Linked DNA regions of Cricetulus griseus. The protein of the gene in region 1 purifies or fractionates together with the protein of each later gene. This does not show direct contact. Links are inferred from orthologs where the notes say so. Each region holds a gene or a part of one and is shown in the gene's direction. Other genes may lie near its edges.

Region 1 (4,225 bases):
AGTCTAACACCAGCTAGGATGGAACTCACTAAGTAGTCCAGGCTATCCTGGAATTTCCAGTCTTCCAGGCTCACCTTCCTAAGTGCTGGGATTACGGGTACTCTGAGACTTGTTTTAAGACAAAGGCCTTGTGACTTCTCTACAGGCTGACAGGGTCGGAGGCAAAAGGCCAGACGTGGAAGCCAAGAAGACAGTGGAGCTGGAGGGAGTTTGTGGGAAGGAACTGGATTCTGGACGAGTTTAAGATGCTTAATACTTAAGGACTTGGAGATGGCTCAGCCCGTTGAAGGCCTTTGCCATCAGCCTGAGGACCTGAGTTCCACCCTGGGACCCACACGATGAGGGGTTCACAAGGTGTCCTCTGACTTCCATAGCAAGGCGGGGGCACAGGCACACACAATGAATAAAATGCAAATATATATATTTACTTATTTAATGTAAGTATATATCATTTAAATATATTTAATAGAGAGGCTGCTGAGGTCTGTAGATTAGGAGGGGTCTGGAGGTTATCCATTTGTGTCCGTCTGTCCTCCCTGTTCCTCCCTCTAGCCTTTGGTCGGGAGACAGGGTCATCACCCTGTCTTTCCAGCATTAAGCAAGCTGAGTTTCCTCCTCAGGGGCACCCTAGGCCAGATCTGGGGATGAAAACCAGCTGCGGGAGGCGCCGGGCTCGGCGCAAGCCCAGGCCCCTCCTCGGCGCCGGCAGACACCGCTCGGCTGGTGGCGGGGGTGGGTGGGGGAAGGGGGTAGGGGGGGAAGCTCCTTGGCTCCCCTCCCCCTCCCGCAGCCCCGGCCCGGCGCCCTGGCACGTCCGGCGGCGCGCCTGATGCTTTCCAGATGTGGACCGCGTTCTCCTTCCAACCTGGCCCTACGAGCCCACGAGGGAGGGGGCAGGGAGCCAGGGTCCAAAAAAAAAAAAAAAAATATCTCAGTTCCAAAAAAGTTATCAGCATGGCTCAGGCCCCCTCCATCCCAGCTCCCTAGGGATGGCCGAGGCAGGAGGGTCGCCAAGTTGAAAGCCTGGGCCACAGAATGAGTTCAGGACCAGTCCAGGGCGAACTAAAGGAGACCGTCTCAGAACCACAAAGTCAAAAGAGGGGTCGTGGATGCAGAGCTCTGGGTCAGCACGTGCGAGACTTCAGATCCGTTCCCCGGTACTGCGGGGCGGAGCTGTCAGAAGCTTTCCCCGAGCAGGCGTCTGGCTTCCCGGTGCGGGCGGTGAGAACCGACCCGGGCTTGAGCTGTCAGCGTGCGACTGAGACGCCTCTCCGGACTCCACCTCCTTCCCAGGGATGCAGTAGCCATCGGTGCGAGCCAGGATGGGAAGGAGCGCCAAGCCCCGCCCTCTCTCCCTTACAGGCCCCGCCCCACACCCGCCCCGGCCACACCCACACCACGCCCCCTCCGCTGCCCCGCCCCCCGCGCCCCGCCGCGTGGTCGGGCGGGAAAGGCGCGCTCTGAATCTCACTTGGCAGAGACCCGGCTCTGTCTTCAAGTCTCAGTCCGTGTGTCTGTCTCCTGTGACCTCTCCCTGGACCTGCCGGCTTCTGTCCCGCTGTCCCGCTTGTCTCTCTCCGCCCCTCTCACCCCTCTCTCTCTGAAGTTCCCTGTCCTCTCCCTCTGATCCCTTCCTTTTTTTTTTTTTCACCTTCCTAGGAACCCCATTTCTCCTCTCATCCTTCTCGCCACCCCCCACACCCCCACACCCCCCGATCTCTGGTTTCTATCTTCTGCAAGGCTGGTGGCCGGCGATGCCTCGTCGTCTTGGCGGCTTCTGCGCTCGCTCCTCCAGTGACTTTGGCTCGAGCGCGCCCCCGTGTGGCCAGCAGTGGGGGGCCGCGAGGGCGAACGAGAGACCAAGAAAGTGATGCCGTGGTGCCTGCTGTGGTTGGCGTCTGTCCCACGCGGCATCCAGAGGTGGTGCGACCCACGCCAGCGTGAGGGCACGCCTCGGAGGCGGTGTGGGGCACCAGGGGGACGACGTGTGACGGTGTGACACAGTGGGATTGGGAACGACAAGGAGGGATTGAGCGGGACTGAGTGAGCGTGTGTGGCCTTGGGCCTGGGAGAGAAACTAACTGGAGGCTGCCCATGATGTATGTAAGCGGGGGCGGGGGGGGGTCGGGGGTCGGGGGAGAGCTCGTGTGTGTTACGAGAGCAGAGTGAGTCCACCCAAGTGATGGCATGAGCCAGCGATGCAAAAGGGAGGCACACAGGGGGATCCGGTGTGGACAACCGTGTGAGCATGTAACAGTGTGTCTGCCACAACACTGGTGGGTCACGCGTGAGGAGCTGGTTGGTCACATGTGGCACTGAGGCTGCCCTGCGTCTGTGGCTGCCTGTGCGAAAGCATGCAATTATTTGTTTGGGGACTCAACGGTAAGACTGGGAGAACGCTGAGCGAGGAAGAGACAGTGTGAGCATGGCAAGCATTTGAGGCCCAGCAAAGACTATGTCCAGGCCAGTGTGTGTGTGTGTGCGCGCGCGCGCGCGCAACACCACACCATTGTGTGTCAACAGTGTATGACACCAAAAGACAGTGTGTGGGTCTGACAGGGATTACATGTGACCCTGTGGCTGGGGGACACACGACCATGTGTGCCATGTGTGTCCGGAAACTCACCAGGAGTAAATGTGGCCACACACAGGCACCCCTGGAAAGGAAACCGTGTGGTCCCGCCTCACACTAAGCAATGGAGCGCTGGGCGGAGAGGCTGAACCGGTATTGTATGCCACCACGTGAGATTTGGAGAAAGGTGTGAATGAGAGCTTGAAGAGAAGCCGAAACTGCGCTTGTAAGGATGACAATACGCACATTTGACACCCTAAGAGAGGGCACCTGACTGCAGTGGTGCCAGCCAGTGCTGCTGGCCATGGCAGGCTGTGCTGTGAGACGCCACGAGCCACCGCGGTGGGCTGGGCGGTGTGTTGAGACCTTTGGCGCCGAGTATTATTGTGCTGAGCACTGTAGCCCAGCAAGGTCCTCTGCGGCCCAGCAAGGTACTCAGCACCCCTGTGTGAGTGACTTGAGTCTGTGTGCTGCTGAGAGCGTCTCTGCGATGGGGTGATGCTGAGGTGACTGTCGGTTTGCTTGTGCGAGCGGCGTGAGGGTGCATGGGACACACGGGAGAGGCCTGTGTGCATAAATATACTTACCTAGAGGGGCTATCCTTTCCTGCCAGTGTGAAAGAGGGACTCTAGAGAGAGAAAGACATGGATGAAACACACACACACACACACACACACACACACAGAGAGAGAGAGAGAGAGAGAGAGAGAGAGAGAGAGAGAGAGAAGAGAAGAAGAAGAAGAAGAAGAAGAAGAAGAAGAAGAAGAAGAAGAAGAAGAAGAAGAAGATACATAGGCAAGGAGAGGACCCACAGAGACAAACCTGGGCGTGGAGACAGGTGGTGCCTAGGAGGAGGCGGTCCTGAGGAGCTGCACCCCAGGGGAGGGGGTGGGGCTGGGAAGGGGACCAGACGCTGCCTCTCTCAGCCTGTCACCCGCCAGTCATCCCAGCCCTGAGCTGCAACAGGTAGGAGGCTCCTTTCCGGGGTCCCAGTGGCTGGTTGGTGGCCACCACCGTCGGTCTGTCCGGGGTTGAATGAGTGAATGGGTGAATGAAGGAATAAATGACTATAGTTCCATGGGTCCCCATCATTCCCTCTGTCCTTCTGTTCGTCTATTTATCCCTCACCCTCTCTCTCCTCTTCCCTTGCTCCGTTTCTTTTCTAACACTGCTTGTCTGGGTCCCCCCCCACCCCTCCTGTCTCCCTATCTCCTCCGCTCCCGTTCCCTCCGTGCCTCTTTCTTTCCCTATACCCCCCCTTTCCCTCCCTCTCCCTAGCGTCGTCTTCGTCCATCATCTCTCCCCCCAAATCTGTCTCCATCCTCAGTCTATTTTCCTTCTCCATGCCTGTCTCCCCTTCTGTCACATTGTTACCCCTCCCCATTGGTTTTTCCTCTTGTCCTCCCCCCCCCCCGCCTCTATCCTCCAAGCCCCTCTGCAGGGCTGGCTGGGTTGGCTTGCCCCAGCCCTCTCCCCTGCCTGCTAATGAGCAAGAGAGCCTTTGAGGTAGCCAAGGCTGGGGCGGGAGTGGGTCCCTGAGGGTGGCAGAGGGGGCAGCTGCTGCCGAGGCCCTAATGAGGCCCCCTCTGCGCCCCTCCCGCCGAGATCTTAATTCTCAGCTCTCCCTGGAGTCGCTGCTAATTGGCCTGGGGA
Region 2 (3,946 bases), on another chromosome or scaffold:
AGCCCAAGCCTGCTGGGCCTGGTAGGAACTGAACAGAAATCCTGACTTCTTTTTTTCAAAGTACATTGCATCTTATCCTTGCCAAAGGTGGCTATTATCAGGCTTCAGATCACCACCAAAAATGTCCTCAGCCCTGGAAATCAGTCCCTGCCTGTCTCAGAAGAGTCACCAGGCTGAGCTCAAAGCTGTGGCTCACAAGGGCCCCCATCTGGTAACAGGTGGTAATGCACCATCTCCTGATCCGACAGGAGTGCTGCGCCCTTGAGGTACACTGACGTACATGTAGACAAAACACTCATCTACATAAAATAAAATAAATCTTTAAATTTTTAATTTAAAAAGGTGTGTTTATTTTATGTATACTAGAGGTTTGCCTGCACGTATGTCTGTGCACCATGGGGCATGCCTGATGTCAGTAAAACCAGAATAGGGCATTGGCTTCCCGGAACTGGCATTACAGAGGGTTGTGAGCCACCATGTGGGTGTTGGGAATCGAACCTGGGTCCTTTGGAGGATCATCAAGTGTTCTTCACCAGTGAGCCCTTGCTCGCTATACATCTACACTTTATATGAATACACTTACACTTATGTAGCATGTTTTATACATCCATTTAATAAGCTAGCATTAACTGAACTATTTATTTTATTTACTTTGGTTTTTCGAGCAACTTCGGTGAGCATCAAAAGAGTCACCAGGGAACCTAAGCCCAGGGAAGTGTAGGTGGAGAGGAGCCACTGTAGTCTGTTACTCTGTCACCATAAGCAAGACTTCATTCCAGAGGAAAGGACGCCTCCGACTCCAGCAGGGTGTGCCACCGACCCCTACTTTTGCTGCCCCATCCCAGGACCCCGGCAGCCAGAACTCATTTTTAAAAGAATGTTTCTGGCTAGAGGGTTGTGGGACAGGTTTCTGACGCATCCTGCCTCAAGTCCCCAGGGATGCAGAGGGCTGGGTTGTGTCGACTTCTCTAGGCTCCCCTGGAGCGAAGAAAGAGGAGTTGGGACCACAGCTTGTTCTGTGAGCCTCAGTTCCCCCAAGCCTCCACCCCTTATCCCATCCAGGGCATAGCCCCGCCTGGTTCTCAGGGAGAGCGCGGAGGGCGGAGCCGGGGAAGTCTGCCACCGCCGCGGTCGCGTCACCGCCAAGGGGGCGGACCCGGGGAGGCGTCCGGGGTCACGGAGGCTGCTGCTGATCCCGCCCTCTCGGCCACCCCGGCGTCGGCTCTCAATCTCCCGCTTTGCGTTTGTCTCCCGGCTGCATCCCGACGAAGATGGCAACCGATGGGCTGCACGAGAACGAGACGCTGGCGTCGCTGAAGAGCGAGGCCGAGAGCCTCAAGGGCAAACTGGAGGAGGAGCGGGCAAAGCTGCATGACGTGGAGCGTGAGTGCGAGCCGGGGGTGGCGGGGAAGCTCTCGTGGGCCCGACCCTCCGAGGGGCTGGAGGACCCGCGTGGGACCGGTTCCACCGCCCGGGGTGGGAGGATGCTGAGCCCCTCCCAGGGGGCGGGTGGAGAGGCGCAGCCAGCAGGTGTGCCGGGGCGGGACCGCTTTACTGCTCCCCGTTGGGACTCTGCCCCCCGTTAGATCCTTTCTCCCCGCGGATATGAGGCTCCCTTTCCCGTGTCTCCACTGTCCGTGGGGGCAGGGAGCTTGATGGCGGAGGGAAGCGGAGACGCCTCCTGCATCCACGCGTTCAGCTTGCGGCAGGCCCTTTAGAAGCCTTTGATGGATGCCGCGGTTGACATAAAAGGGCCAGCGCGGTGTAAATAAACTTGCCGGCGTGCCCGCTTCCATCCCGGTTCAGAACAGGGGTGGTCAGAGAGGGGTGGTCCTCCGCAGAGCTCAGAGTGGAGACCCCGCTTGGGCAGTGGTCTTACCCGCTCACCCTCCCTTGCAGAGCAAGGCTTGTTAGCCAGCAACCCCCCACCCCGCAAACACACACACTTATGTGTGGTGTCCCCGCCTTCCTAATTGGTCACAGCCTTAATTTAAGTTCCATTTGGAGAAGGGAACTGGGGTTCAGTAAGGGGCCTTTAGCATTTATTTTCCCTGAAACTTGCTGGAAGTACAGAACCCCTGTTATGCCTTCCCAGGGACCTTCTCTTGTTAGAAGGGCAGCCCGCTTCTGTGAGATTTCGAAATGTGTCCAGATGTAATTAGTTAAATTGTGAGTTGTTTTTCTGGTAACAAGATCAGGTCTGGTGCAACTGCTTGGTGCTTTGAAGAGCCCAGGCCTTTCCACACCATCAGCCATTGGCATTTACCCAGTGACTCCAAGATGACTGCCATTGCTCCAAACTTTGCCTCTGTATCCAAAGCAGGAAGAAGGGAGAATGTGAACCCCGGGCTCTTTTCCTTCTTAGGGAGAAAGCAAAATTTTTCCCAGAATTCCTCTCTTCCTAAGATTTCTATTTGTACTTTATTAGCCAGAACTAGGCCATGTGGCCTCTGCCAGGGAGTCTGGATAAAGGGGGCCCATGCTAAGCACATTGCCACCCCAAAGTTGAGAAGTAGGGAGTGGAGACATGGGGTCAGTCTCTCCTTCCCCTTTTCAGAGCCTTGTAGGCTGAAGGTGGTGATGTTGTCTCAAGCTTGGTTTAGTGCCTCAGACTTCTCTGTTTGACAGCTGAGGAAATGGAGACGTTCCTTGGCCCTGTGGCTTGTGCATTCATTTTGAAGTGCTACACAGGTGGCCCTTGTGACATGAGCCCCTCACTCTAGAAACCCCACCCACCCACCCACGGGGGGGGGGTGATCTTGTCTTGCATCCTCTTACTTAGAGTCCTACTCTGACCATAGTCTCTCCCGGATCCTTGGGAACCCTGGCTTTCCCCTGGAGCCCTCAGCCCTGACCTGTCTTCTATCCCTTCCCTAGCATCAGCACAGATACTTTGATTAACTTCCAAAAGTCTTGCCAAGGGACCATGACTCTATCTGGTCCTCCTGCCTCCTCCTCAGCCCTGGATGGACCAACAGCCTTCCTTTCTCCTGCTGCTGGACTCATGAGGCTGCTGAAGAGGAGGCACCAGGAGGCCTCTGTGGCCAATGGCTAAGTCACCCTGTAGTATCTTCAGACAGCTCTCTGCCCTGGCAGTTGTCAGCCACTTAGCATTCTGTGATGGCCTCTGTCCTTTTACTTCCTCCCCCAGAGAAAATGGAAGGTAGAAAGCTGGGCCCTGAGTTTATAGATCCAACCCCCCTTGCACACCTGACTGACTCTTCCTGTCTAGGAGTTAACTTCTTCCCACCCCTAGTCTTTAGTTTTTCCTCTATCTCTGCCCCCTGCTTCTCTGTCAACAGTCTCTCTCTCTCTCTCTCTCTCTCTCTCTCTCTCTCTCTCTCTCTCTCTCTCACACACACACACACACACACACATACACACACACATACCTCTCTTTTTCTCACACAGTTTGCCAGCCCCTGGTGTGTCAGGCTCTGTGTGCAGCGAACAAATCAAGAATGTTCCCTCAGAAGGCTTTGGTCCAAAGCTGGGAGTCAGGCATTCAATAGGTAAAATAAGTTCTAGGCTATATATGTTCTCTAGATAGAAAGGAGGGGGTAAGGAAGAGAGAAATGAGCTATGGGGGAACTCAAAAAACTCGCAGAGACTGTGACCCAGGGTGGCTCCTGGGAAGGATGTTTGAATGCAGATTCCTTACTTGTATAAAAAAAGGATAGACTGCCACAGTGAAGAGAGTTTGAAACAAAAATCAATGCAAAGCTGTTAAGTGTGTGTGTGTGTTTGGGGGGGGGTTGGTATAGTGAGCCAAAGCTGAGGCAGGGGAGTATGCTCGCTGTACTGGGGGGAAGCTGAGGCCCTGTCTGGAGAGGCATACACAGTGGCGGGGTAGGAGGTGGAGTTACAGTGGGGGGCTGTTGAGGCCTGGTGGGACACAGTGAGGTCTTGGTTGCTCTTGCTCTCTCTGTCTCTCTGTCTTTCTGTC

The links. The genes of interacting proteins can lie anywhere in the genome.
Region 2: the proteins of guanine nucleotide-binding protein G(I)/G(S)/G(O) subunit gamma-8 (region 1) and Gnb5 purify together in Homo sapiens (co-immunoprecipitation; 3 studies listed by BioGRID and IntAct, with this or other methods). This does not show direct contact. The link is inferred for Cricetulus griseus from reciprocal best matches to the Homo sapiens genes GNG8 and GNB5.

The regions. Positions count from the first base shown.
Region 1 is NC_048602.1:11,528,007-11,532,231, forward strand, and holds the start of guanine nucleotide-binding protein G(I)/G(S)/G(O) subunit gamma-8, read left to right. Parts: upstream 1-1,425; 5' UTR 1,426-1,993; intron 1,994-2,123; exon of another isoform or gene 2,124-3,538; intron 3,539-4,186; exon of another isoform or gene 4,187-4,225. UniProt on the Homo sapiens protein: Guanine nucleotide-binding proteins (G proteins) are involved as a modulator or transducer in various transmembrane signaling systems.
Region 2 is NC_048597.1:186,572,061-186,576,006, forward strand, and holds the start of Gnb5 (guanine nucleotide-binding protein subunit beta-5), read left to right. Parts: upstream 1-1,146; 5' UTR 1,147-1,271; coding exon 1,272-1,383; intron 1,384-3,946. UniProt on the Homo sapiens protein: Enhances GTPase-activating protein (GAP) activity of regulator of G protein signaling (RGS) proteins, such as RGS7 and RGS9, hence involved in the termination of the signaling initiated by the G protein coupled receptors (GPCRs) by accelerating the GTP hydrolysis on the G-alpha subunits, thereby promoting their inactivation.